Linked DNA regions of Mus musculus. The protein of the gene in region 4 interacts with the protein of the main gene of each other region in a pairwise test. Links are inferred from orthologs where the notes say so. Each region holds a gene or a part of one and is shown on either strand. Other genes may lie near its edges.

Region 1 (3,500 bases), on a different chromosome or scaffold from region 4:
GGAAGCTTCTGAAAGCCTGATAAGGCAGTAATGTGGGCGGAAGGTTTGGCTCCCTCATAAGGTCAGTGCAAATGTTGGACAATAGGTGTAGACTTTAGGCTCTCTTAAGTACCAGTCTCTAGCTCAAGTTACCAAACACCTCTTAGCTTTGTTTGCACAACGTAAACAGACTCTGCACACAGGCTTCCTGGTTTGAATTCTTCATACATTAGTTGTGTGACTTAGTCTAGCTGGTGTGTGTGTGTGTGTGTGTGTGTGTGTGTGTGTAAGGGGGGGAGAGGGAGAGAGAGAGAGAGAGAGAGAATGAGCATGGGTAGGAAGGGTGGAAGACAGCCCATGGAAGTCAGTTTTCTCCTTCCACTAAGTACTTAAGTAGGTCTCTAGGACTAAACATCGGTTTTGACAGGAGGCTCCCTTACCCACTGAGACATCTTTCTGGCCGTAGCTTCTTTTAGTCCAGGACTCAAGGATAACGAATGTGCCACTGAGGTTTTTCCACTTCAGCTAACTTAAACAGGCTAATCTCTCATAGACCTGTTCAGAGGCTAACTAAATTAGTCTATAGGTGCAACTGGAGGCTTGCCATCCAGGTAATTCCTGCCATGTTGACAGTAATACCAACCATATTACTGTCACCACCTAAGCTATTTAAGGCTCAGCTTCCTTTGTCACCTGAGTAGGGTGGCAAGATTGAATGAAAGTTTTCACGTTCGTAAGGCTTCAGTGTAGCTTATGCCACACATCTAGGTATCAGTATTAACACTACCCCTCCTTCATCCTGATTCCTGTTGGGTCTTGGCCCCTTTGACCAGAGAGAGGACTCTCCAAAGAACAGTCGTCCTCCTGGTGTCTCTCAGGACTCAAGAAGAATTCAAGGCTGGAGAGATGGTTCAGTTAAGAGCACTTACTGCTCTTGCAGAGGGCCTGGATCCAGTTCCCAGCACCCACATGGCAGCTCACAACTGTAACTGGTTCCTGCATGCATGTAAGGCATATACATACACTTGGACATACACAGAAACTTTTGTTTGTTTGTTTGTTTTTTTAACAAAAGAAACGTCTTACACAAACAGCTTTATGTATTTTAGGCACAGACAGGGTCTTAAGCATTCTGGTCCTGAGCTCCAAACTCAATCAACCTTGGAGTCCCGAGCCTTCGGGGGCCACTTCCCCAGAGTTGGAATTACAGGCATGCAGTACCACACCTAGTTACACAATGCTGGGGATTGAACCCAGGACCTCACACATGTTAGGCAAGCATTCTACCTCCTAAGGCATACTAAGGACAGCCCTAGCCCACACTACCACCCCTTCCTTTCTTTTTTACTTATTTAGGGTCTCATATAGCACAGGCTGGCTTCAACCATCTCTGTATAGTTGTAGATGATATGAACTTCTGATCCTCTTGCCTCCACATTCCATCTGCTGGGATTACGCGTGTGGGCCAGCATGCCTTATTTTACATGATGCTGGGGTTGAAGCCTGGGGCTTTGCGTGTGCTAGTGAAGCACCCTGCTATCTAAGGTGCACCTCCAGTCCTTTCTTTCCCTATTCAGAGGATAGTGCCATGTTTTCCCTGGTGAGAACCTGAGGACAGACCCTGCCATGAGTGTCACCCCAGAGGTCAAGAGCCGTGGGATGAAGTTTGCTGAAGAGCAGCTGCTGAAGCATGGATGGACTCAAGGTGTTCTTCCATATCCTCCCGCTCCCTACTCTCTGCTGCCCCATGCCAGTTCAGCCAGAGGGGACACTAGTCTAAAGAGAACCTTTAGAAGCATACGTTTTCTGACCCATCTGGATTAGGGAAGAATGGGCGAAATCCTCATTTTGGATAACGAGGGATGAGGGGCAAGTGGTTGGACAAACTAGAGGAGGCCACAAGGGGATAGAAAAGATAGTTCTCCCTCAGACGGGTTCCTGAGTAAGCCTAGAAGGAATGGAGAGAGGTAGGTTTCTGAAAGGTTCAGAGTGTACTCTGTGATCAGTAAAGGAATGGCGGTTAGCCCAGGAAGACTTGGTGAGGGCTCAGGTCAGGCTACAAAATAAGTCACTCACTCTCCTCTACAGGCAAGGGCCTGGGCCGGAGGGAGAATGGCATTACCCAGGCCCTCAAGGTGACACTGAAGCAAGATAACCATGGGGTAAGACTGGGAGGTGGTCAGCATGAATGGGAGAGGGGACCCATGAGGGCCAGTGGGCGGTGCTCAGACTGTGACTTCTACTTACTGTTCACATGGAGGTGGGACATGACCCTGCCAAGGAATTTACAGACCACTGGTGGAGTGATCTCTTCAACAAGACTGCCGCCAGCTTGGTAGTGGACTCGGGGAAGGTATGAACTTGTCGGGTATATTGAAGAAACCTGCAGGCCTGGGGTGGGGTAGGGCACTACAGCACGCCACTCTCTCACCGATATTTCCCAACAGGATGGAGTGCAGATAAGACGTCTTTCCAAGGAGACCACCCAGCGCAGTCACCCCAAACCCAGCTTGCTGTATCAGAAGTTTGTGAAGGTAATAGAGTGAGAGATCCAGCTCTCAACTGCTCCCGTCTGTCTCCCTGGGTCCTGATCAACTGCATTGTGTGTCCAACTAATTCCCAGGATACCCCAGTACACCGAGATCCCGTGCCCAGCCTTGCTGTGCCCGTGCCCTCACCCAGACTGAAATGTTAAGGTTCATGGACAATCCCATCTGCTGGGGAAGCAGCAGCGTACAGTGAGAGGGAGGGCTGTCATTTAGTTAGGAGCTGCTGGGGTGGGATATGTTGATGTATAATTTTAAAAGAGTTAGAAGCCAGGAGAGTCCTGTGAGGTTGCCTGGTCCACCCTTATTTTACATATGTGAACCAAAGAGTAAAAATGGTTTTCAGAAGAGCCCACAGCTGATGAATAAAGGCAAAAAGAACAGAAGCCGGCAGTTAGTAGCACAGATTCTGTGTGCAGGGCTTCACACAGCATCCCCTCCCAGTTTCTACATCTTGACATCTACTCGGTTCGGGCAGTCCTTGCCTCTTTAAGAGCCTCTGCCTCTATCCTCACTCTCCACCACAGTCAGTGACCTTCAAAGCATCCATAGGGTTCTCTCTAAAACACATCGTATTATGTAATAAGAACTTCAGTTTCTTTGAAAAACACAGAAATATGGACATATGTTTTTGTTTTCATCTCAGGTGTGGGATATGGGGGGCTGCTTCAGATTGCAGTCAGCAGCTGACTATGATTTGCCTCATGCTTTAGCAAGGGTGTGGTTTTGCCAGCATCAAGTAGTTTCTTCGATTCTGTGATGTTTGGAATTCTGGGGATTTTTCAGAGGGTATATAAATGCTAGGCCCCAGAGGAAGGGTGTTGTGGGTTGTTATTGTGGTTGGTTAAGTAGTCATACACAAAGAAGGAAAAAGGAATCAGATGCCCTGTCAGTGAAGGTCAAACTTGCCTCAAGGAATCCCATGCTTTAACAATAACATTACTTCCTTTTCTTTCTATTCTTTATCTTCTCTTC
Region 2 (4,219 bases), on a different chromosome or scaffold from region 4:
AGCCTTAGTACACACCTTTAATCCCAATGAAGGTAAACTTAGTTAGAAAGAAGCACCCATGTTTGAAAGTGATTTCCAGTGACTCAGGGAGATTTGACAGAATAGGATATGCCTATCTCTCATGAGAACAGAGAGGAAAGAAGTGACTTAGGGGAAAGAATAGGAGAGGGCAGTTTACTGGGACCATTGTACAGAGACAGGTTGCAGAGAAAGAACAAACTAGCCAGGTGAAGACAGAACGAGCCAGAAAATGAGCCAGAGATTAGAACATAATACCAAAGGTCGTATGAGGCCAAGCAGAGCAATTCGGGGGAAGCTGGAAGAAGCCAATTTGAATCATTCAGTGTGGAGGAGTCTGAGCCAGAATAGCTGAGTTGACCACCCAGCTAGATAGAGTTCAGAAGAGCATTAAAGGGTGAGCTTATTCAGCAATAGGTCTCAGAGGTTGAAAACATTCTAGGCCAAGATAAGATTGTATGGAGGCTAGAAGCTTCCAGGACAAGGCCTGGGTTAGCAGACAGAGGCGGTAAGCTTCAGAAATGACAATTACATCAGGCAAATAAAGGATACGTTTCCACTTTATTGTGCAGCTCCCCTTGGGACCATCCATTCATCCCGAGTATGATCTTGTTCTGAGGAATCTGTCCCAACTGTGTCCTCTAAAGCCAGGCCATGACCTCAGGGCTCATACCAAGAGCCTCACAAGCTGTGGCAGGTACTCAACGTGTTCAGGATGAAGACATAAAAATGAGGCTGTCTTGGTCTATTTGGGATGCTAGAGAGTTCCAGGATGGGTATTTTTTCAGACTAGGGATGAAACCCAAGACCATCATGTTAAGCAAGTGATCTGTCATTAAGATGTAGCTCAGTTTCTGTTCATTTTGAGGCGCAGCCTCAGTAAATTGCCCAGTAAAGCTTCACCTGCAGAGAACACAGATCGCTCTGGTTTAGGGATGCTTTGGCTTTCATGTCACATACGCATATTCTGTCACCCAGAGCATGGAAGAGTGAATCCATGTTTCTTTGGTGACTTTATCTGTCCCTCTGTTCCGTGAAGGTTTGCCATTATTTAACTTAGTTTCAACAGTGACCCGGGACCTTTGGAGTTAGCATTCTTGGCTTTCCAGAAAGCAAGGGGCCGGCCCCTCCTGGTGTCACTAAGGTTTTGTAGTGTCCCCTTCCACCGAGATTCCTTCACACGAGAGTTATCAGGTGGGATAGCACAGCCGCCTTTTTGAGGAGCTATTGCGCAGGCGCACGTGGCACTAGGATGAAGGATGCGCCAGAGAAGCCCTGAACGCCCTTTAGAAAGAGGATCTTGATTGATAAGGCCCTCGGATACGCAGTGCGCAGGCGCACGGGCACGTTAGCGAGAGCGCAGGCGCGCGCGGGGGCGCGAGAGTGACGTCACGGCGTGCGTCCGGAGTGCTGCGGGAAGTCCGACTAGAGACCGCGGGTACTGAAGGCTGTGCAGTGGCTCCAGCGCCATGTTCGGCTCCAATCGCGGTGGCGTGCGTGGCGGACAAGACCAGTTCAATTGGGAGGACGTGAAGACTGACAAGCAGAGGGAGAACTACTTGGGCAACTCGCTGATGGCGCCAGTAGGCCGCTGGCAGAAGGGCCGCGACCTCACCTGGTACGCGAAGGACCGCGCGCCGTGTACCGGCCCGAGCCGTGAGGAAGAGCTGGCAGCCGTGCGCGAGGCGGAGCGTGAGGCGCTGCTGGCCGCACTGTAAGTGCCTGGTCTGCGGGGCGACCGCAAGCCCCGAGGGCGGGATCTGGGTGGCCCTGGGGCGGGGCTGGATGTGGGCGGGGCACAGGAAAGAAGGGGACCGAGGGGCCAGACCCTTGATGAGCATTCCTGACCTTTGCTCGCAGTGGTTACAAGAACGTGAGGAAACAGCCCACCGGCCTGAGCAAGGAGGTGAGTCTGAGATATGGGTTCGAGGTCCGCGGGGTGGTTGGGGGGGGGTGGGGGGGTCCGTCTGTCTCGGCCTAGAACCTCCTATCTTACCCTGCTTTCGCAGGACTTCGTGGAGATCTGCAAACGGGAAGGAGGAGACCCCGAGGAGAAGGGCGTGGACCGGCTCCTGGGCTTGGGCAGCGCCAGGTTAGGCTAGTTGGGGAGTCCAGGGTAGGCCTGGGCGGTGATTGAGAACTGTCCTCAAATGCTCTGTCCCCTGCAGTGGCTCCGCGGGCCGTGTGGCGCTATCCCGAGAAGACAAAGAGGCTGCCAAACTTGGGCTGTCAGTGTTCACGGTAAACCCTGTCAAGCCCAATGCACAGGATCCTGGGGTTTAGAGGTGTCTGAGATGTGGGGCAGGATTCCCTGGGTGTTCCTCACCACGGCTACTCATGTCATACAGCACCACCGTGTGGACAGCGAAGGCCCAAGCACTGCCCCAACTGCTCCCAGGAAGAAGCCTCGCGCTGAGGACAAGGTCGAACCGGAGTAAGTTGAGTCTGCCTCCCTGTGCATAAAGGGGCAGACTGCCTTAGCTCTCTTAGTTTGACTGAAGTAGGCGGACCTCCATCTCTGGGCTGGAGTCTCAGTAGCTGCCATAGGTGACCCAGCAGGGTGACGCTCAGGACCATGATACTGGCCAGTTTGGTGGGAGGTGCTTGTGGGGTGGGCGGCACACAACTTTCTTTAATCCCAGCATTTGGTAGACAGCAGGCTGATCTCTCAGAGTTCTCACAAGCTGGTACGTGTGTCTGGTTACTTCTACTTTTGTGTCATCTCAACTTTGTACCTAGGTAAAATAGTGAGTTCCAAGCTAGACAAGGCTGCATAATGAGAACTTGTCTCCAAGGAGAGAGGAGGCTCACCAGGTTGGCAGCATTCCAGCACTCATCTTTGTGGCCATGGAGCCTAATAAGCTCATTTATAAATATGAACTCCCGACATGTAGATATTATCAGTGCACAATGGATCCTGTTCTAGTCTGCCTTTCCCTGCTGGGTGAGACTACCCCACAGTCGAGTAGACACGAGTCCTTCAAGCTCGGATCCTTTGTATTGTTTCTTGCAGTGCAGAGAGCCATAAGAAAAGCAAGAAAGAAAAGAAGAAAAAGAAGAAGAAACACAAGAAACACAAAAAGAAGAAAGACAAAGAACATAAGAGGGAGGCTGACAGCTGCTCCTCATCTCCCTCTCCTCCCCGGTAGGCTAGGCCCAACTCTACCTGGGACACTAAGGAAATGGGAGGCAAAGCTAGCCAGGCCTGGTGTGGTGCTTGGCAGGGTGAGGGACCCTTTAAGTGTCTGGTTGTCCTTGTCTTTGTAGGCCCAGACACCAGAGACATTCTGACTTCTCTCCCTGCTCTAAGAGGAAGCGGGAACATAGCCAGGACAGTGGAAGGAATCCATCCCGCAGACGACAAGACAGAAGCTCTGATGACTGAGAATGGCTACACCAAAGGACACCAGAGCCCTGGATGCCAAGTAGCTACCAGCCCACTCCCTACCTGCCCAACTAACTGTCCCTCTGTGGCTGGGATAAGGCAGGTGGCTGCTCCCCAACAGGATCCTGAGCCAAGCTTGCTGGATCTTAGGATCTATCTTGCCATTTGGAGGCAACTACTCCAGGTCATAGAGTGGGTCCTGGGTTACCAGTCTAGTGGTTCTAAGAGGGTAGTGCTCTTGCCTTGTCCCCCTGCCAAGGAGGATCTAACTGCCCAGGAGACTGTCTCTGCTGCCACAGGCCAGGCCCTTGAGGTTAGGGTGCGTGTTACTGATTACTCCTTTTTTGTGTGTGTATCAGCCCACTTTGTACTTAAGTAAATGTATTTTAAAAGTAGAGTGTATATTATCTCGCTGAGGACAGGTTAGGCTGGGAGCATGGGGCCCCCTTCCAGTATATATTAAGGGAACTGGGTCTAGGGACCAGAATCCTGTCCTTGAGGCTGCCTTACAACCATACAAGTGGCCAAGAAGTTGGAAGAACAAACTTTTGTGATCTGAAGGCATCTGCTGTCTCCCTAAGAGGTTCAACAGCCAGATAATAGCAAGACAGTAGAAATTAGGGCTGCTACAGTATAGAAAGTTCTGATTGTAAAAGCTATTGTGCTGTGAATGCATACTTCTGGGCAGACCCCAAAATGTCCTGAGACTCATGCTGTTGCTTCTATGAAGACCTGTGCCCTGCAGGTAGCCACCTAAGCATGAGAGAAGACTAATTATCTAAGACCTCAAGGGGGTGAAGGTCAGTCCACTTAGGC
Region 3 (3,996 bases), on a different chromosome or scaffold from region 4:
CTCTGCTCTAGCACCCAGTGGCAGCATATGTACCTTATAGGTAGGAGGGACTGGGTGTATGGAGCTTCTGAGAACTGCCAAGGGGACAGCAGAATCCTGACCCTGGCTGCTCCCCCCACTTCCTGTCCTGGTTTACTGCTGTACCTACAAACACCTCTGGCTTAGTCCTACCTCAGGGCCTTTTCTCTGCTGTCCTGGCAGCCTGAGATTCTAACACTTCCCTGACTGTCCGGCTGGCAGACCACCTGCCCTGCCTGCCTCATGTGTCCTTGTGTTACTACAGAGGATGGGTATGACTCCCACTCCCCACCAGCCTCTGAGGGTCAGGAGGCTCCCCTCGCCCCATCAATGATACGTGCCTGACAACTGCCTGCAGAGGAGTGCGGTGGTGTGGATGAGAATGGTCCCTAAGAGTCATAGATTTGAATGCTTAGTCACCGAGGAGTCTTGGGGGGTCGGGAGGAGGAAGATGATTAGGAGGTGTGGCCTTGCTGGAGAAGTGTCACTAGGGGTGAGTTATGAGGTTTCAGAAACCCACAGCACATCTGGTGTTTCTCTCTTTCTGCCTGCAGATCAGGATGTAGTCTCCAACTACTTCTCAAGCACCATGACTGCCATGTTCCCCACCATGGTGACAATGGACTAACCCTCTGAAACTGTAAGCAAACTCCAATTAGATGCTTTCTCTTCTAAGAGCTCCCATGTTCACAGTGTCTAAGACAGGAGCAAACAAAGAAATGAAGACAAGATATAATCAATTAGTCACACGGACAGCTTCTCCATCCTCAGTGACTGTACAGGTGTGACTTACAGGATTGTGATTCTCACACACAGTCAAGTGTGAATAACTGTCTGGTTCAAAGCTGGTTGAACCCAGGAAAGTGGGGGTGAAGGTCTAAGAGGAGGCTGGCAGCCTGCCTGGGATGAGATGGGAGACAGGCTCTGTCAGAGAAGCTGGCTACAAGAGATCTGCAGGCAGATGCCATAGGTGGTGCAAAGGCCCTGGGCAGGAGGAGGGCTGCCACTAGAGGGTCCAAAATCCTGCAGGGCCAAGTGTCACTCTGATTTTCTACTGAGATAGGGGTTGGGGACTCTGTGAGGGTGGGAACTATTATCTTTGTTTGTTGTTTCTCCAGAGAATCAGCCTCCAGCCTCATGTCCCCAGGGATTCACCTCATGTTGAAGGGGGCCATCAGACGCACCACATACTGCCGGTCCTTGGGTAGCTTGAGTTTCGGGATCTTCGATGGGTCAAAGTCAGGTGGGTAGTATTTCTGTGGAGAAGAGGGCGTTGCTGTTTTCTGGTGCTCAGGTCCCATACGGGCAGGAATGGGGTCTGAGAGCCATGTTAGCAGACGCAGGATACTCTGGTTTAAGGGATCTATCTGCTCAGGATTCAGCTTGCTGGAGCCTTTCCAGACATGAGCTGTTTGAAGCACAGTCATGAGAAGAGAAGTTGGGACAGGGAGGAGTGCACAAGCTTCCAACACAAATTATATAGTGTGGTGGGTCACTTTCCTACGCTGTGACATGCCTTCTAGGGAAGGTTCTAGAGGCCCAGGGTTTGCAGTAAGGGTGGACCCCTGCTGCCTATCACATGATAAGATTCTAGACACTCATGAGGAAATGGAGGCCCGACATAAATCAGACCTTGTCAATGGTGGCCTAACCTGCACTAGGGTACCACACAGGCTGCAGGGCACCATCCCAGGGCAAAATCTGGCCAGTGAATCTCCTTGGGGAGAACAGGCTCTGGCCTCTCTGTGTGCTTGGGAGGCTGGGGTGAGGCGCACAGGGACAACCACTCTGGGTTACTGGCATGCCAATGTCCAAACCCAGCACCCGGGAATTTGAGACAGGGGGCTGAAGAGAGACAACTCCCCTCTCCCCCAAAAAGAAGCTATGTGGACCACCAACAAGGAGGCTCTGCTTTTGACACCTACTGGCAACCAGGCTCACGAGAGAGGAAGCTTTGCTAATTCAGGCGGTAGACGGGAATGATGGTGTACAACTGTCATACCAGCACTCAGGAGGCTGATGCAGAACTGTGAGTTTACAGTCAGCCTGGGCAGTGCACACAAACGTGCTGCACAGACAGACATGAAGGAAAAACATAAAGTGAAAATAAAACTAATCCTTTAAAAAGTGAATATAGCCCATCTTAGGTGTACAAACTTTTGGTCTGTGAGTTCGAGGCCATTCTGGGCCTTCTGTGTACAGTGAAACCTTAACCCAAAGCAAACATTTAAAAAACAGATCCAGGAAATGGAGAGCAAAATTTTCCAAGAGTGGAGACTGAGTCACCCCAGAAACCCCAACATGATGTAGACATCTCTGCAAAAGGTTTCGGATATTAATTCAACAAAAGCCGGGAAGAACTGAGGTGACCAACAACATCCCCTGATCTGATCTGGGGAAAACCCACAAAGAAGCAGTCCTGCCCCCAATTGGGTAAAGTGACAGAAGCTCCGCTTCCCTGGTGATGATTGGTTACTCACGAAGCTGGGGGGGGGGGGGCGGGGAGAGGGGGAAGCTAACGACCGCCCCCAAAAATGTGATTGGCAAGAGTTTGGAAAGCTCCCGCCCGACTGGAAGACGCGCGTGCGTGTGCGTGCGTGTGCGCGAGAGGGGCTTGCAAAAGGAAATGACCGGAAGGAAGCACGCCTCGCCCGGAGCCCTCGCACACTTCACCCTCTGTAGGAACATTTAGACTCTGAGCACTTACGTTTAAAACTTTCCGTTCCGACATTTTCGCTTCCTGTCCAGCGAACAAGCGAAGAAGCGGTCCTCAGTCTACGGGGAGTTTCTCCGATTCAGCGCCTCAGTGTCGCCACTTCCTAAGCCGGCTCACTGGTTGGTGCCTACCCGCTTCATCGTTCTCATTGGCTGCAATCTTTGTCGATCCGAGTCGGGAGTGCGCTTCCGTTCCCTTCCGGGTGCCGGTAGTTGAAACCCGAAATAAAGGTTCCGGGACATGTGGATCCTGTGTGCGCTTATCTAGCACACTGAAAGGATGGAGAAAGCTGCCTGGGATAATAACATTTTCTCTCCTAACTCTGATCAACAATGCTGTTTGTTTTTTTGAGTCAGAGTCTCACTGTGTGTCCCTGGCTGTCCTGTAACTCACTATGTAGCTCAGGGTGGTCACAAACTAAAGGAGATCCTCCTGCTTGTGAGTTCTGGGACCAAATAATTAAAGGCCACCATGTCCCGTTCTGGTGTTCCTTCTTCTTAAGTTTCTTTATTTCTGCTGCTGGGGATGGAATCCAGGGTCTTTGCATATGCCAGGCAGGCACTCTACCACAGAAAACACCACCCAGCGCTCTAATGCTGGGAGGTAGCCTCTCACTAAGATGCCCAGGCTGGCCTGGAGCAGACTCTGCAGTCCAGCTTGGCCTTAAATTTGAAACAATCTTACTGCAAGCCTGGAATCAGTGACCTGCCTGGTTTTCATTGTGTTTTGTTGGTGGTGGTGGTGGTGTGTGCGTGCGCGCGTGCGTTTCTTCTTTCTTCTCCTTTTTTTTTTTTTTTTTTTTCGAGACAGGGTTTCTCTGTGTGGTCCTGGCTGTTCTGGAACTCACTTTATAGACCAGGCTGGTCTCGAACTCAGAAACCTGCCTGCCTCTGCCTCCCAAGTGCTGGGATTAAAGGCCTGTGCCACCACCACCCGGTGCGTTTCTTCTTTTATGAGAGAGGAACTCACCACGTAATCCAGGCTGACCTTGAAAACTCAGTAGTCCTCCCCTCCCTCTGACTCCCAAGTGCTGGGTTTACAAATAAGAGACACTGTGCCCAACTCTTTTTACTTTTTTCTTTAAAAAATAGTATCTTTGCTGTTGTTTTGTTTTTGTTTTTGAGACAGGGTTTCTCTGTGTAGTGCTGGCTGTCCTGGAACTCAGTCTGTAGACCAGGTTGGCCTCAAACTCAACAAAGATGCGCCTGTGGCTGCCTCTAGTGTTGGGGATTAAAGACATGCACCACCACTGCCAGGCTTAG
Region 4 (3,500 bases):
TAGACACTTGCACATCTATGCTTACTGCAGTGTACATGCGTGCATGTATGCATGCATGTCTTGAAAGTTGAAGCCAGACTGGGGGAATGAAAAACAGTGGGGAAGAAGAAAAGGAAAGATATGAAGATACAGAGGTGAGCATTGTCAGAATACATGATACACAAATGAATCTCATCACTGTTTAATGAATATATGCCAAGAACACTATCCATCTCAATGATTACTTCTAGGTTTTGGCCGACTTACACACTGGCATGTTCACCACTTAGCTATTGAGGTCATGCCTGGTTTCATGGAGAGCCAAGGTAAAGAATGGATTACTGTATATTTCATGGTCACTAGGAGAGGGTATATTGCCAGCAACTAAGACTATTACCCCTTTGAAGGTTGCTAATTTTCAATAAATTTGATGCCTTGGACAAATGAGCATGTACTTGGCCATGAGTGTTTTGTTTTAAAAGTGATATATTTTTTTAATAAATCTAAGGCACATACTGATTATTCCTGGTTATGGACCTATTCTGGATTTATAGTCTTCCCCCTTTTCCTGGATGTCTCAACTGACTACATCATTTGTGATCTACAGATCATTTTTGATTTTTAAATTTTCTTTTGGGGGTTTTTTAAAAATATTTTTAATATATGTCTCTTCCTGATTATTGTTTTTATCTAAACCTAGATATAAGTTAGGGAGAATAGTGCACACAAAACCCTAGCAATTAGAGGCTGATATATTAGTATACAAGATGGAAGCCAGCCTGGACTACATAAATCTCATAAATCTATTAAAATAAATTATATTGGCTTCATATAGATTCTTTTTTAAAAATTTATTTTTATATATGAGTACATTGTAGATGTCTTCAGATACACCAGTAGAGGGCATCAGATCCCATTACAGATAGTTGTGAGCCACCATGTGGTTGCTGGGAATTGAACTCAGAACCTCTGGAAGAACAGCCAGTGCTCTTAACTGCTGAGCCATCTCTCCAGCCCCTTCATATGAATTCTTAAAACCCTTACTGATTATTTAACCTTGAATGCATGCAGTCAACATAGTTCCCTTATTTTATATGTTTTCACGTTTGTGACATAGTAATATTCCTTGCATCAATTTTAAACAGGCTTGATGCTACTTACTGAATGAAACAGCTCAGTGGAGATGGTGACACAGGTATAAGGAGACAGCGTGTCCTACATGTCTGATCATAATCGTACTTTTACAATGTTCTTACAGATGAAATGCCAGCAATATAAGAAAAACCGAATGGAGCAAGAGGGGACCATTGCTTCTTTGCAAAAGGAGATCCACAGACTTGCCAAAGAGGAGGAAGAGCGCATCCTCACTCAGAACAGAGTGTTTGCCCATCTCTGCAGAAGAGTCCCTCACTCAGTCTTGGATAAACAGTAATGCCTAGTACATAAGACGATAATGGAGCTAGATGGATTGTTTTCAGCTAATTTTTTTCTTGAGGGTGGTTAGATCTTTTGCTATAGAAATCTCCTTTTCCCCTTTTTTTTCTAGTTCATCATTTTGTGTGTGTGTGTGTGTGTGTGTGTGTGTGTACACGTGCGCGTGCATATTTGTATTGTGCATGCATGTGTGTGTGAATATAATTTTAAGAGTATTTTGAGTAATTAATTTATTAAACTTTATATATACAGGTGTTGTGCCTGCATGTATTTATATGTACCACATGCCTGCAGTGACCAGAAAAGGATGTCAGACACCCCTGGAACTGGAGTTATAGACAGTTAGTTGTAGGCCATCTTGTGGGTGCTGGGGATAAAACCTTTGTCCTCTGAAAGAGCAACCAGTGCTCTTAGACTCTGAACCATCTCTCCAACTCCTTGAGGAATGGGTCTAGACATTTATTTTTAAAATATTAACTATGGATGGGTAGGTATAGTGGCACATGCCTTTAATTCCAGCACTTGGGAGGGAGAAGCAGATAGATAGATCGCTGAGTTCTAGACCTGCCAGGGCCATACAGTGAGAACCTATCTCAAAAAAGAAAATCCAAACTAAACAAAAAATACTTATCAGTTTTGTGTGTGTGCAAGTATGTGCACATACCTGAGTGTGTGTATGTGTGTGTGTGTGTGTCCATATGGTATGCTGGAATCAAACCCAGGTCCCAAGTAAGAGAAGCAAGTTCCCTTAACCATTGAGCCTTGGGCAGATATTTATGAGGGAGATTGCCAGAGATAGGATTGTTGGGACAGGAAGACTATGTATTTAATAAAGTGAAACATGCTTATAAATATAGTAATAGAAGATATATAGATATAGATCAGTGCAATACTTGTTTCTGGCAAGAATTACTGAAAAATTTTAAGTTTGCCAGACAATCCGTGCTAAAGATTTGATTTCGAGTAATGTGTATGTATGCATGTATGTGGGTATATGTGCTTCCAGAGCCATTGGAAACCTCCAGGGCTGGAGTTACAGTGGCTTTGCCCTACCCTATGTGTACTGAGAACTGAACTTGGGTCTTCTGCAAGAGTAGTATATACTTTAAAAAATGTTTAGGCCTGGAGGGGTGGCTCAGAGGTTGGGAGTACTCGGTACTCTTGCAGAGAACCAGGGTTCTATTCCCAGCACCCACGTGGTGTCTCACAGTTGCCTGTATCTCTAGCTCCAGGGGATTAGATGCCCTTCTTGGTCCTCCCTGGGCACTTGAACACAAGTTGTACATACACACATAAATAAATAAGTCTTAAAGAAAAAAGTTAAAATGTATTTTCTATGTATGAGTGTTTTGCCTATATGTATGTACCACATGTGAGCCTGTGCCTGTGGAGTCCAGAAGCAAGCATTGGATCCCTTAGAACTGGAGTTAGGGATGATTGTGAGTCACTGTGTAGGTTAGAAATTAAACCTCTGAAAGAGCAGCAAGTCTCTCTAGCCCTGCAGTATGCTCTCTTAACTGCTAAGCCATCTCTCCATCCCCAGTCTGTATTTTTATCTTTGTAATTTGAAATTATGTAGGAAGTTTGGTAAATACTACCTTTTGAAACTAACTGAACATATTTTTTGTTTTCTAGATTGCTGTGTCTAATTGATTACTATGAATGTAAACTTAGAAAACTTCATATACAAAGGTATAAATAATATAATTTTATTTTTATATTTATACATTAAGTTTCTGTTGTAATCGCAGAAGTTTGAAGCGCAGGGTAAATGAGGTGCTGTGCACTGCACTGTTAGCCACTTACGCGCTACAATTTTTCTTCAGTCTTTTTATTAAGACTTGGAAGTAGTATTAGGAATCAACAGTATGTGTACAGTGTGTTTTTAAAAAGACCAGGAAATGTTCCATTTATATTTTGTTTGTTCATTCAAGTATTTTTCATCCACTCTTGTGTCCCGTGACAAAGTTTTCTGGTCCTCACACATTCTAAGAGTTAGTAAACATACTGCTCTAAGATTAGATAGCTACTGTGATGTGATACTATTCTTTGTAGAACAAGTGGGAACCTGGGATTTCCATGTTTAA
Region 5 (4,066 bases), on a different chromosome or scaffold from region 4:
TTTAAAAAACATTTCTCTACAGAGTGAGTTCCAGGACAGCCAGGGCTACACAGAGAAACCCTGTCTCGAAAAACAAAAAAAAAAAAAAAACAAAAAACAAAAAACAAAAAAAATTCAAATAATACATTTGCAAAGATAGCCATATGGAAAAGATAGTCTCCAAAATATCCTTATCAAACTATCATCTCTTCACAGTAGGACTATGAGTGGTTAGTTTATTCTAAAGTTTTTAAACCCAGGCATGTTGGTGTAATCCCAGCACTTGGGAAGTAAAAGCAGAGAGATCAATACTTCAAGGCCAGCCTCGGACACACTGCAAATTTGAGGGCAATGAGGGGTATATGAGATACTGTCTCTAAAACAGAAAAGGGAATAAAAATTTTAAAGCTCAGTTATTTTAAAGTAATAATACACGGTCTTCACTAACACCTAAAACTTAAACCTAATTTCTTCCCCCTAAAACTTCCCATGACCTAGCTATTAGAAGTATCAATGCAAATTAAATATGGCACATGGCAGTAAATCACAGGACAAAGGTGGGAGAATTCGAGGCCAACCTACGAGAACAAAGAAGGTACCAATGTTAAGATTCTGACACTTTCCCAGCACGCAGTTTGGGGTTTCAACGTGTGCCATCTCTTCCTTTAGTCCCGTGTGTGCACCCCTCCCCATCGGCCCTGTGTGATAGGTTACTTCTCCTCCGATGTTGGTGAAATGAATCAATTTAAACCAGAGTAGATGATGTTAAAGGCAGGTTTATTGGGAAGCTGCCAGCCGGTGGGTGAGTTCACTGGCCCCAAGGACCAAGGCCAGCGAAGTTTCCTGGGAAAGGAAGGAAGAAAGAGAGAAGGGGGAATGTGTGCAGAGAGAGAAAAGGAGAAGGAGACCAAAATGTCTGGATTCTATAGAAAGGAGCCCTATAGAAAGGGAAGGGCAGCCCAGCCCCTGGGCTGGAAAGTTCAGGGTTGGGGGCAAGGTATGCCAGGTGGGAACTGAGGGATGCAGAACCTGGAGGCCAGTTCTGCTTTGATAGGTAAAGTATACACCTCAGCCTCTTGACCTAGGGTCAGAAACTGAGCACTGTCTTCTTAGCGATTGGCCTATTGCATAGATGAGACCATGCCAGACCTGCTGGTTACTTTAAAATTTAAACCAGGTCTACGTCTGGTTAGGACTGGAAATTGCTTGAACCAAATCCAAAGGTTAAAAATCACTAAGTCCAAGTGCTAGGTCAGGAAAAGGCCCTGAGGCCCGACTACAGATTGCTTTGAAGGCCCAGCACCCCCAATCGAAAGCCAGCCATCACTGGTCCTGTGGTAGTAGCTATGCCTTTTCGTAAAGAGCGCGGACGCGGCGCCGCGCTGAATTTCGTCCCTCTGGAGACGCCGTCCAGGCGCCCGCCTCGGTCAAGTCACGTGATCGAGGTTTGCGGTGAAGGAGGAAGTGTTTTGCTGCGGGGTCCTGGCCTGGGGCGGACAGCCTGCGGGATGGAGGCGACTTTGGAGCAGCATTTGGAGGACACGTGAGTAGTGCGTGCGGCCGGTCCTGGGCTCCGGACAGGGGAGCTGGAATGGGACAGCGGCATGGACCGCGAGTGTCTGCGGAAGCGTTTGGGGCACTCGGGGCGGCGAGCGGGTGACTTCTGCCTACGGCCGGGCCGCTCGTTACTGGGTAGTAAAGTTTCGTTAGGCGTGTTCGCAGAATCGAGTAGCTCTTGAGAAGTTTGGGAAACGGATTAAGTTTGGGGAAGGATGCCCCGGGTGTGCTAAATCGAGCCCCCGCAGTGCCAAAGCACTTTCACGCACATCTTCCCGCGTTTGTGGCCCGTCAGTTGCTCAGCGCTTGTGAAGTAAATATATCCGTAAAGTTTTTCAGCTATCTCTGTAAAATTTAAAATTGGGAGGTGTAAAGTGGCTTACAAGAAGACACCTCCTCCTTGAGCTTCTTAATCCCCTCCAGGAGCAATTCCCGTTACTGAGATTTAACAGTTGTCTTCAGGAGTTGCAGTCCTAGAGCATGCTTCTATACCAAGGACAGAGCCCTAAAGATAACTGCCTTGTTTGTGTCTTTGTGAAGCAGAGGTGCCTGAGAAAATGGTTTGGGTTTTGTTTTGTTTATTTAAACAACTCACAGTTTGTCCTCTGAAAGGGGGCGAAAAAATTTAAGGGCTGATTTGAAGTGCTTAATACTCGGTGCATAGAAAATCTGTTTTACTACAGTAATTTGAAATATTTTCTTCACATCATCTGGTTCATCTTTCTTGTGCTCCCAAAATTAGAATGAAGAATCCATCCATTGTTGGAGTCCTATGCACAGATTCACAAGGACTTAATCTGGGCTGTAAGTGTCTCCTACCAGCCTCCCTTTGAAGTTCTGAGAGCCTTAACTTACACTGCTACTATTTTCTAGCTTTTATTCCTGTTACCTTTAGGGCATAGAGACTATCTCCAAGTAAGAGTAGATGGTTGAAGCCTTTCAGTTGCATTTTAAAGGCAGAAATGTTCCTCCCAGTTCTACAACTGTTCCTACTAAAATGGTTTTGAATAAATTTTAAGTGGTCTAGAAAAGGGCTTTAGATAAGGACATCTTTACTGAATGCATTCCCTGTGCAGGCACAGTCAGGCTACACTATTTCCTTAATTGCCTCAATAACCCTGAAAATGGATGATGCTGGCTGCTAGTCCAGCCACTCTCAACAGTAAGTTATTGTCAGTAAAAATAGGGATTTCCTAGTTAGACACGTCTGACTTCAACCCCATTCTCCGATGCTGTCTGCTAGCAACATGAGTGCCGAACAGAAGGAGCCTCTTGGGGCTTCAGTTTCTTCATTGGGTTATTTTATTTCATACATACATTATGTGTGTGTTGTCTTAAGACATTTTTTTTTAAAAACTTATTCTACGTGGCCCTGGCTGTCCTGGAACAAACTTTGTAGACCATGCTGGCCTGTAACTCACAGAGATCTGCCTGCCTCTATCCCTTGAATGCTGGGAACAAAGGTGTGCATCACCATGCCCAGCCAGGCACTATTCTTAGTGTTTTCATTATAAAACGTACATAACCCCCCTTCCTGCCCCCCCCCCCCCACCAAAGCCCTTTATGGTCAAGAAATTTAGCAAGCTTAAAAGTACCTTGCCCAGGGTCAAACACCTAATGAATGGTTGAGATAGGATGTTTTTAAAGCTGGCTCCAAAGCTTAAAACACCCAGTACAGAACCAAGATGTGTTTGTGTGGTGTTCAATAAATTGTAGCAATTACAGATAAGGAACTAAGTCCAGAAAGGTAAATAGCTAAAGTTAATTAATGTCAGAAACTAGTAAACCCAAGAATCCTTATAACTGATGCAGGTTTTTTAGAGCTCTGATCTTTTGCTGGTATGATACCTGACAAAAGTAATATAGTTATGTCTTATACAAAAAGCAGCCATTTGGAACAAAGGTAAATTTTTTTGAAGCATTTGCCAAGTTACTAATGAAAACTCTTTAAATGCAAATGTGGAGGAAAAAAAAAAACTAAGTAAAACCTTCAAGGTGCGAAGTTGCTATTTCCAATAGATTTCCGGGCTGCACTTTGGCCTACGGATTTTTTATGTAGTAATAGTCAATCCAGAATTTCTGCCAGGTTATATTGTCTACTACCTTAGTTTTAGGTGTAAGTAAACCCCTTTATTTCAGGGATCTATAATAAGCTTGGTGGTTACCTTTTGTGCCTAGAGCCTGATTTAGTTAATACAAGTCAAAGTAATAGTAAAGACTCGGGGGACATTTGAAAGGAGCCCAGCTAGCTTCTGCTAGCAGAAATAGTTGCTCACAGGTCTTCACATATGCTGGCAAGGTGATCTTACAACTGGACTTCTGAGTAATGGCTGCTTCTTTGAGATTGAGCATAGGAAGAGAAACTCAGATTTCCCATAAGGAATTAATTAGCATCAACAAGCCCCTTATCCATACTGAATGCTTTTTGTCACTCTCGCCTTTGAATTTCTTGGTTTCAGCAAGGTTCCTATAAAATAGTTACTACCATCAGATGACTTGAATTACAGCTTCCTTATATGCTTGAGAAGGT
Region 6 (4,182 bases), on a different chromosome or scaffold from region 4:
GCTAAGATTAAAGGCATACGCCACCACTGGCTGGCCTGCAAAAGCACTTTAATGGTGCCATTTTCTTTCAGATCTACCTTTTTTTTAAAAGCTGTGTTAATAGATATCTGCAAATTTAGAATACTGTCAGCCGAAACTTTCCTATTCTATGTACACACTGATGTCCTTCATATCCATTATTTACTATTTCATGTTCCTAAAACCATCCCACTTACAGGGCTTCAGTCTGTCAATAGGTCTTGTTTACACCAAGTCCCATCACAGAACTAGTTGCATGTGGCTGGCAGAAAGTCACTATTCTCTCATTCAGATGGCTATGGATCCCTCCCCACATCTAGCTTTTCAGAACCAACCAGTATCCATCATCAGTTCCGTTGGAAAAGGCAAGCTCAACCGTTTTGAAACAGGAGGCAGGGAAGGTAAGGTGATAGGTGCTTCGCAGAGGGGAACAAGGAAGGGGTGGTAACAACTGCGTCAGAAACAGGTTCTGTGGAAGGTGTGCCGCATAACGTGGAAAGTACTGGAACCTTAGGGTGGGGACAGGGGCGCTAGCTGGGGTTCTAAGTAAAGTGTTATGCTGCAGGTGGCTGAGAGTTCACTGAAAAAGCATCCAAAGTGGCCAAAAACCTGAGGCCGATCAGGAGGTTGGCAGGGCTGAGCTGGGAGGGTGTGGTCCTTGTAGGCTCTCGCCCCCTCTAATCTGCCGCTAAGCTAGCTGCAGAACCGCTAGACAAGCTACCACATCTCACTCACTGGTCTGAGTGACAGACACTTCCTATGTCTAGTGTCTTACTGGTCAGTCGAGAAAAAAGAGGGTGGGACAAATAAGTATTCTCCTTCTGATTGGTCAACCCGCTGGTTCTTGTCAATTAGAGATGAACTGGGTTCTCCGCCATGTTGAATAGCGCGCTGCAAAGCCTGTTCTTTTCTTGGGATGGTCACCCAACACCCGGTCCTTCCTGTCCCTCTGTGCCCTAATATGTTGATCCAGCTAGTTAAAACGCGCTTTCTGCTTTAAGTCCGTATACCGCGAGAAGTTCTCGTTTAGGTAGTTAGACAGAAATAAAGCTAGAAACCAGAGAAAAGCTCAGTCCCTTGCCGGAGACCTGGGTGTCATTCAAGTGAATCAGTAATTGTTCCGGCGCTGGTGAGACTCCCATTGAGCAATTAGCTTGAAGATTGCGTTTTACTTTAGCTTGCTGTGGTAGTCGTTTGTGTAGCTTCAGACAGTTATGCTTCTAGAAACCGCAGGCTTGTATCAGAAACCATCATTAGACACTAGCTGGACTCGGGGTTCGCATTTGTGACAGTGAAAAAGGACGTTGCGTGCGTTATGGTCCGTCGCCACCTCCTGTAGCGTCCCTAGTAACCGAGCCCCTAGTAACCGCTCGCCCCAAGCCAGGATCTGTGAGCTAGGTGGCAGCGCCTGCACGCCGCCCTGGGCGGGCGCGGGCGCTTGGGCTTGGAGGCGGGGCGATGGCTTCGCCGCACCAGGAGGCCAGACTGGCGGCAGCCAGCCTTCTCCTGTCTGCAAATCCCATCACCGGAGCAAGGGTCGCCCAGTACGAAAGCGAAGACTCCTTAGAGTCCTTGGTAGCAGCGGGGTTGGCGGCGGCCATGGAGGAGGAGGAACAGAAGAAAGTGTGGCAGATGCGGGCGTCGGTAATGTGAGAGCCCGGAGGGGTCTGAGGGCTGTCCGATCGTCTCGGGCAGGACGGGTGGAAATGCGGTGTCCTCTGTAGACCCTCCCTGCTCTCTGCCCCAACTAAAGGTTGCTGCAAAACTTTATTGGAGAGTGGTTTTTTTATAGCTATTTCTAGAGTATGCAAAGAACAGAACTCTACTTCCTATTTATTCTCCAGTATATCTTGGGAATAAATAATTTTTTAGTTCTGATTTTTACATTTATTTTTGCCCCCCCCCCCCCCGAAGACAACTGATGTGCCCATAGTTTTCATAAAAGATCAACTTTCAGATGATAAGTTGTACTGACAAGTGTGTTTTATCAGTTTTTGTTAGGAGTGGATTTTAGCAGTCCATTAGCAAACCGTGTTTGAAGTTCAGTGGACAGATGCTCCAGATGTAGAGAAGCATCCAGATAAACAAACCGCCGAAATCCCAGTTCCCTAAAGGGATGATATGGGTGCAGTGAGATCTTTTCACAAAACATTTTCAGTATTATGTCCTGGATGTGTTATATGTTTCTAGCAGAAGGATATATATGGAGGAGGAGATTATACACACACACACATAATCTCTACCTCTGGAAAAGCAACCAGTACTTATAACCACTAAGCCATCTCTCCAGCAATGCTTTTATTCTTTAAAAATTTCATACAGTATATTTTGAATGTAACCACCCCCTCTCCTTCATCTGTTCTATTCATTTTGTGTGTTTGTTTTTAGATTTATGTGTATGAATGTGTGCCTTGGGAGTTACTGAGAGTTGTGAGCTACCATATGGATGCTGGGAATCAAGCCCAGGTCCCCTGCAAGAGCAGCAAGTGCTCTTAACAGTTAAAACATCTTAGCATCCTTTTAAATTTTTGTTTGTTTTCTGAGACATAGCCTGGCTGTTCTGGAACTCACTCTGTGTAGTCCAGGCTGGCCTCAAACACACAGAGCTCTGCCTACCTCTGCTTCCTGAGTTTAAAGGTGTGTAATAAAAACGCCCAGCTTTTATTCACTTTAAAAGCCGGGAACCTTGGACTTAAACCAGCACTCTGCTGGGATAAAGCACCAGGACGGGCACTCGCTCCCTCGACACCCTGTTCCTTAGCAGTGCTGGGGTGGGCCGAAGGGTTTGTGCTTGCTAGGCAAGTGGTGTACCAACAGCTACATCCTCGGCTTTTTTGTTTTATTTTAGACAGTGACTCCTTTGGTCCAGGATTGCCTCAAATTTGCTATTTGTGGCTAAGGATGACCTTAAACTCCTGATCCTCCTGCCTCCACCTTCCAAGTAATGGGATTAAGCGTATGGGGCCCCAGGCCTGGCCTGTAGCAAATGTTTCAAGGTTATGTAGAGTGAAGCAGAGCCTAACCAGCTATGAGGTTCAGAACCCTAGGACTGGTTTATACCTGATAATCATTCAACACAGCCTGTCATAGGTTACAGAAGGTGAAATGCCAGGGAAGGCAAGAGCTTGGACCCGGGTCAGAAGCCGTTTTCTTCTATGTGCTGGGTGATCTTAGGCCGTGATTTCTGTTTCTTTGTCTATAAAAGGACTATAATTGTCTCCGTTTTCCACCTTATTCAGTTGTTATTAAGAACCAAAGGAGAGAATGGGTGTCATTTCTAGAGTAATTTACATAAATTAGTAGTAATTGTAACAACTGCCAGCTTGAACAATTCACTTGGAAATTGATTTATACTTTGGCTTACTACGGCAGAAAGGTCTGTCCTTTGTATAGTTGTACTTATGTTCCAGAGTGCCCTGCTAACTGAAGATTTTTGTTATAAACTGAGTTTGGGTTTCCAACACCCAAATACAAACCCAGTGTGTTGGCTTTTGTCTATAATCCCAGTGCTGGAGAGAGAAGAAACAGGCAGATTCCTGGAATTTGCTGAAAGCCCTACCTCAAAAAATAAAGTGGACAGTGGCTAGGGAATTCAGCTAAGATTGGATGTTAGCCTGGAACCCCTGCTTATCCCCTGCACAAGCTGGGGAACTACATCTGCCCTCCTGCCAACCCCACCCACCTAAAGAAATCTCCACTGTCTGCTTGGAGAATACTCAAGCTAACATGTCAGCGCTCCTTGTCTCTGAGTTTCAGACAGCCTGCCCAAGAGTGCCCATTTGGGGGCTCAGTTTTTGACCATGCATGGACACAATCCCAGCTCCTAGCTAGCATGGCAGCACTCCCAACCTAAACTCTACAAGATCCCCTTGCTTTGGCCTGGATCTCTCACACCTGTGAGATCAGTGAGCCCACCTGAGAGCAGCCTCCTAATAAACCTGCCTTTATCTACTTCTAATCTGGTCTAATCTGGTCTGTATCTGTGTCACTGAGGGGACAAAAAGCCTGTCACTGACCTCTGGTGTACACACACACACACACATTCTCTCTCTCTCTCTCTCTCTCTCTCTCTCTCGCACACACACACACACACACATACACATTCTCTCTCTCACACACACATTCTCTCTCTCTCACACACACACACATTCTCTCTCTCACACA
Region 7 (3,500 bases), on a different chromosome or scaffold from region 4:
CCCTGGGCAGGTGATCCTTCCTGGCTTCTACAGGAAAGCAGGCTGAGCAAGCCATGGAAAGCAAGCCAGTTATCAGCGCCCCTGCATGGCCTCTGCTTCAGCACCTGCCTCCAGGTTCTCGCCCTGTTGGAGAGTTCCTGCCCCAACTTCCTTCAATAATGAACAGCAACCTGGAAGTGTAAGCCAAATAAACTCCTTTTCTCCCAAATTTGCTTTTTGGTCATGGTATTTTGTCACAGCAATAGAAACCTTAAGTAAGACCTGTAGAAACAATGACTCTTGTCACTCAACTAACAAAATTGATGAGAGAAAGTCTCAGGGCAGCCCGACATATGTCCCCCTCTTTATGCTGCCACGAAGTGATACTCACATCTCCTTCGAGCACACCTTGCACCTCCAAGAGCCATTGCTTTCCAGAACTCGGCATTCTCGGCACACTAAATGATTGCAGCCCACACAAGTGCTGCTTTTGGGAATTAAGCGGCCCAGGCCCTCCTGGCACCTGGCACAGGTTCGATCACTATAGTGTTGGCTGCCCCTTTTGGCCCCTTTTCTTTTGATCTCCAGGAGCTCATTCTTCAGTCGCCTGCCAAGACAGGAAAGAGAAGCACAAGTGGGTTCAGGATGTACAGAAGTGGAGAGGATGCCAGTAAGACCACTGTGTTCTGTACAAGCAACAAATGCAGAGCCCAGCAGTCCTACGCAGCTTTAAATCATTTACTCGATGCCGACAATGAATGAAGAAACAACTGAAAAGCTTGAGTCTCCTTGGTTGAAAGCCTGCAAGGGCTTAGTATTTCTGGGCCCCTTACCGAATCCTTTTCTCATCTGCTTTTCTGAGTTCTTCATCTCTCTGCAGAACACCGAGGATCAAATCCCTTTCCATCTCGGACAGAAAAGAGAGGTCTAGTATCTCCGACATGGTGGCTTTAGGCTCCTCCTCTTCCTTCAAAGCAACCTGGGCAAGAAGAGTGACCAGATGTGTCTAAAATAAAAAAGCAGTTAATGTCATGAAGATTATTAACTGCAGAGTCACTGCCCAGCCCTAGAACATTTCCCCCCCCCAGGCTACCTTCTTCTTGAGTTAAAGCTAAAGAGACAAAGTAGAAAAAAAAAAAGTTTGCGATTCATTATTTCTACTTTCACATTTGAACCCCTGGCCTAGAATGATTTTTATTTTTTCAAAAAATTACTCATGACTCTGGAAAGTGGCTGGGTCATTCAGAATAAGCATCTTAGTCAGGAAGGATTATAAGGCAGCTAAGTCAAACTCTCCCTCCAAGAAGGCCGCCCTCATCATCATCCAACTTTTATTATTGTAAGTGTTCTCAACTCTCAATTCTATTAACTCAGATAGTCAGGTAGGTGGTCTCTAGATTTAAGGGGGCTGCCAGTTTAAGCTGAATTCTCCATCCCTGACTTGTTCATGTGTTCCTGGAATTTAGTCATCTTCCTAATAATGCTTCAAAAGATTCTACCACCCCCGCTACCTCCCAAATAACAGGCACTACCTCTGCACTTGAGAACAGCTTCTCCCATTAAATTAGCATTTGTTGAGCACCACTCTGTGAAAGCACTGGGGACACCGAGATGAATAAACCACAGTCGCTGAGTTCCAGAAACTTACACATGAACACAGTACTTTGTGCAAGTGCTATCAAGAAATTTTAAATTAGATCTATGGAAACTTACAGAAGTATCTAATTCTGTCATACATAGACAGGGGAGGGAGGAGAGAAAGAGACAAAAAAAAAAGAGAATGCTATTTACATGTGAGGATTTTCACAGAGGATATGGATTTCTGCCTTATTTAAATGAGTGTTGTTTTAAAGTGTCTGTGTGTGTGTGTGTATATATCACGTGCATGCAGATACAAGGGGTATGATACCAAAAGAGGGCACCAGATCTCACAGAGCTGGAGTTCTGGGCAGTTGTAAGCCAATCCCATGGGTGCCGAGAACATAACTAGGAGAACATAACTCTGGGAGAGTAATAGGCATTCTTATTCAGCATCATCTCTCTAACCCTATGAGTGCATTTGTTGATAAAGGAGAATGAAGGGAAAGATGGGTTGGAGTCTGAAGCCCTGGGTTCGATGCCAGCAGCTTAACAGCAAAGTTAACAGCTGGCTCACACCTGTAAACCCCGCCCCGAGCACTCTGGAGGCACACACAGGAAGATCACAATTCAGGGCTTTCTTTGCTCCACAGAAGGTTTAAGGTCAACCTAGTTTACATGACAGCCTGTCTCAAAAAATTAAAACCAAATTAATTAGTAAATGTATAAACAAGTTGAGCATGAAAAGAAACTTGATTTAAATGGCATATAAAAACTATATATTGAGCTGAAAGTATTCTTCTTAAGCACACTTGGAATATTACACACACACACACACAAGAACTAATCATGTACTAGAAAAGTCTCAATAAATTAAAAGGCCTAAGTTTTAACAAATTAAAAATTGTATTTGAGTTCAAGGACATTAAATAAGAAGTTAATTTTAAAGGTTAATTCTAATCTCAATACTGTCTGAAAATTTGCCAGACACTTCTAATTAACTCATAGGTCAAAGAAGACCTCATAATAGATTAACCATGTCTTTAATATCTTAGCAAATAAACCTGCCTTTTGCTTCACCTCTGCCACCATGGCTGTTTGCATATTACGAGATAAAATATTCCCTAGGGATTCAAAAGGGACTATATGGAATGAAAAGTAATGCTTTCCTATGCAATGCATTAAGCAATAACAGTTTAGGGCAAATGATAACATCATATTTTGAAAAACAGAATAAAGAAAAACAATAGAGGCATAAACACAGAAAGACAACGTTTTCTAAAAATTTATGGCCACTCATATACTCTCAAGTTATGGATAGGAGAACTTCCTAATGGAGACATCAAAGTCTAAAAGGACTTACTATACTCCTTCACTCCCATCCAGACGTAAATGTCAAAAGGGCCAAGTCACTGCTAAGATCACTTGTCAAAACTTGAGCTCGTTTGTTCTATGTAGTCACATAGTGTCAGTTTTCATTGATAATAACATTTTGGTAGGGCCTAGACCCAGAACAGTCGTCTAGAAAAGGCAACTTTTTTAGTAAGGAATTGCATGCATTTATTGCTAAAGATGAGGATAATATTCCAAGTGAATAGCAAAGCAAGGGAACTGTAAATGGCGCCATCAGGACAGAAAGTTGACATATGTCCCAATCAATAATAGTTCTAGCAGAAAAAGTAAAAAGTATATAGGCAAGTTGAACAATAATTTTGATTTAGTGGGCATATTTAGAATCTATACCCTGATCCTATAGATTAAGAAATAATAATGTAGGAGAATTAATGCTAACTCCAACAAAACTAGGTTTTAAGAAGAGAAGGAAGAAGCTATCTCTTTGTTGTTGTTGTTGTTAATTCTTCTCTCATATATTACAGACCAACCACAGTTTCCCCTCTCACCTCTCCTCCGAGTTCCCCTCCCCCACCTCCCCTCTCCTCTAG

What was found.
Region 1: the proteins of Cep70 (region 4) and Gpatch4 interact in binary tests that used the Homo sapiens proteins (3 or more experiments, as listed by UniProt). The two-hybrid records come from large-scale screens. The link is inferred for Mus musculus from reciprocal best matches to the Homo sapiens genes CEP70 and GPATCH4.
Region 2: the proteins of Cep70 (region 4) and 2310033P09Rik interact in binary tests that used the Homo sapiens proteins (3 or more experiments, as listed by UniProt). The two-hybrid records come from large-scale screens. The link is inferred for Mus musculus from reciprocal best matches to the Homo sapiens genes CEP70 and C1orf35.
Region 3: the proteins of Cep70 (region 4) and Yju2 interact in a two-hybrid assay, tested with the Homo sapiens proteins (2 studies listed by BioGRID and IntAct). The two-hybrid records come from large-scale screens. The link is inferred for Mus musculus from reciprocal best matches to the Homo sapiens genes CEP70 and YJU2.
Region 5: the proteins of Cep70 (region 4) and Lamtor5 interact in binary tests that used the Homo sapiens proteins (3 or more experiments, as listed by UniProt). The two-hybrid records come from large-scale screens. The link is inferred for Mus musculus from reciprocal best matches to the Homo sapiens genes CEP70 and LAMTOR5.
Region 6: the proteins of Cep70 (region 4) and Fam161a interact in binary tests that used the Homo sapiens proteins (3 or more experiments, as listed by UniProt). The two-hybrid records come from large-scale screens. The link is inferred for Mus musculus from reciprocal best matches to the Homo sapiens genes CEP70 and FAM161A.
Region 7: the proteins of Cep70 (region 4) and Sytl4 interact in binary tests that used the Homo sapiens proteins (3 or more experiments, as listed by UniProt). The two-hybrid records come from large-scale screens. The link is inferred for Mus musculus from reciprocal best matches to the Homo sapiens genes CEP70 and SYTL4.

The regions. Positions count from the first base shown.
Region 1 is NC_000069.6:88,049,606-88,053,105, forward strand, and holds part of Gpatch4 (G patch domain-containing protein 4), read left to right. Parts: intron 1-1,556; 5' UTR 1,557-1,605; coding exon 1,606-1,684; intron 1,685-2,067; coding exon 2,068-2,141; intron 2,142-2,239; coding exon 2,240-2,332; intron 2,333-2,426; coding exon 2,427-2,513; intron 2,514-3,500.
Region 2 is NC_000077.6:59,206,942-59,211,160, forward strand, and holds 2310033P09Rik (multiple myeloma tumor-associated protein 2 homolog), read left to right. Parts: upstream 1-1,419; 5' UTR 1,420-1,487; coding exon 1,488-1,732; intron 1,733-1,878; coding exon 1,879-1,924; intron 1,925-2,027; coding exon 2,028-2,110; intron 2,111-2,186; coding exon 2,187-2,259; intron 2,260-2,366; coding exon 2,367-2,452; intron 2,453-3,031; coding exon 3,032-3,163; intron 3,164-3,285; coding exon 3,286-3,403; 3' UTR 3,404-3,795; downstream 3,796-4,219.
Region 3 is NC_000083.6:55,957,991-55,961,986, reverse strand, and holds the start of Yju2 (splicing factor YJU2), read right to left. Parts: upstream 2,801-3,996; 5' UTR 2,750-2,800; coding exon 2,726-2,749; exon of another isoform or gene 2,586-2,725; intron 1,275-2,585; coding exon 1,174-1,274; intron 1-1,173.
Region 4 is NC_000075.6:99,274,341-99,277,840, forward strand, and holds part of Cep70 (centrosomal protein of 70 kDa), read left to right. Parts: exon of another isoform or gene 1-305; intron 306-1,237; coding exon 1,238-1,407; exon of another isoform or gene 1,408-1,417; intron 1,418-3,048; coding exon 3,049-3,105; intron 3,106-3,500.
Region 5 is NC_000069.6:107,277,592-107,281,657, forward strand, and holds the start of Lamtor5 (ragulator complex protein LAMTOR5), read left to right. Parts: upstream 1-1,266; 5' UTR 1,267-1,325; coding exon 1,326-1,522; intron 1,523-2,278; coding exon 2,279-2,340; intron 2,341-4,066. UniProt on the Homo sapiens protein: As part of the Ragulator complex it is involved in amino acid sensing and activation of mTORC1, a signaling complex promoting cell growth in response to growth factors, energy levels, and amino acids.
Region 6 is NC_000077.6:23,006,965-23,011,146, forward strand, and holds the start of Fam161a (protein FAM161A), read left to right. Parts: upstream 1-1,382; 5' UTR 1,383-1,476; coding exon of another isoform or gene 1,477-1,662; exon of another isoform or gene 1,663-1,667; intron 1,668-4,182. UniProt on the Homo sapiens protein: Involved in ciliogenesis.
Region 7 is NC_000086.7:133,961,313-133,964,812, forward strand, and holds part of Sytl4 (synaptotagmin-like protein 4), read right to left. Parts: intron 986-3,500; 5' UTR 923-985; coding exon 813-922; intron 587-812; coding exon 371-586; intron 1-370. UniProt on the Homo sapiens protein: Modulates exocytosis of dense-core granules and secretion of hormones in the pancreas and the pituitary. Interacts with vesicles containing negatively charged phospholipids in a Ca(2+)-independent manner.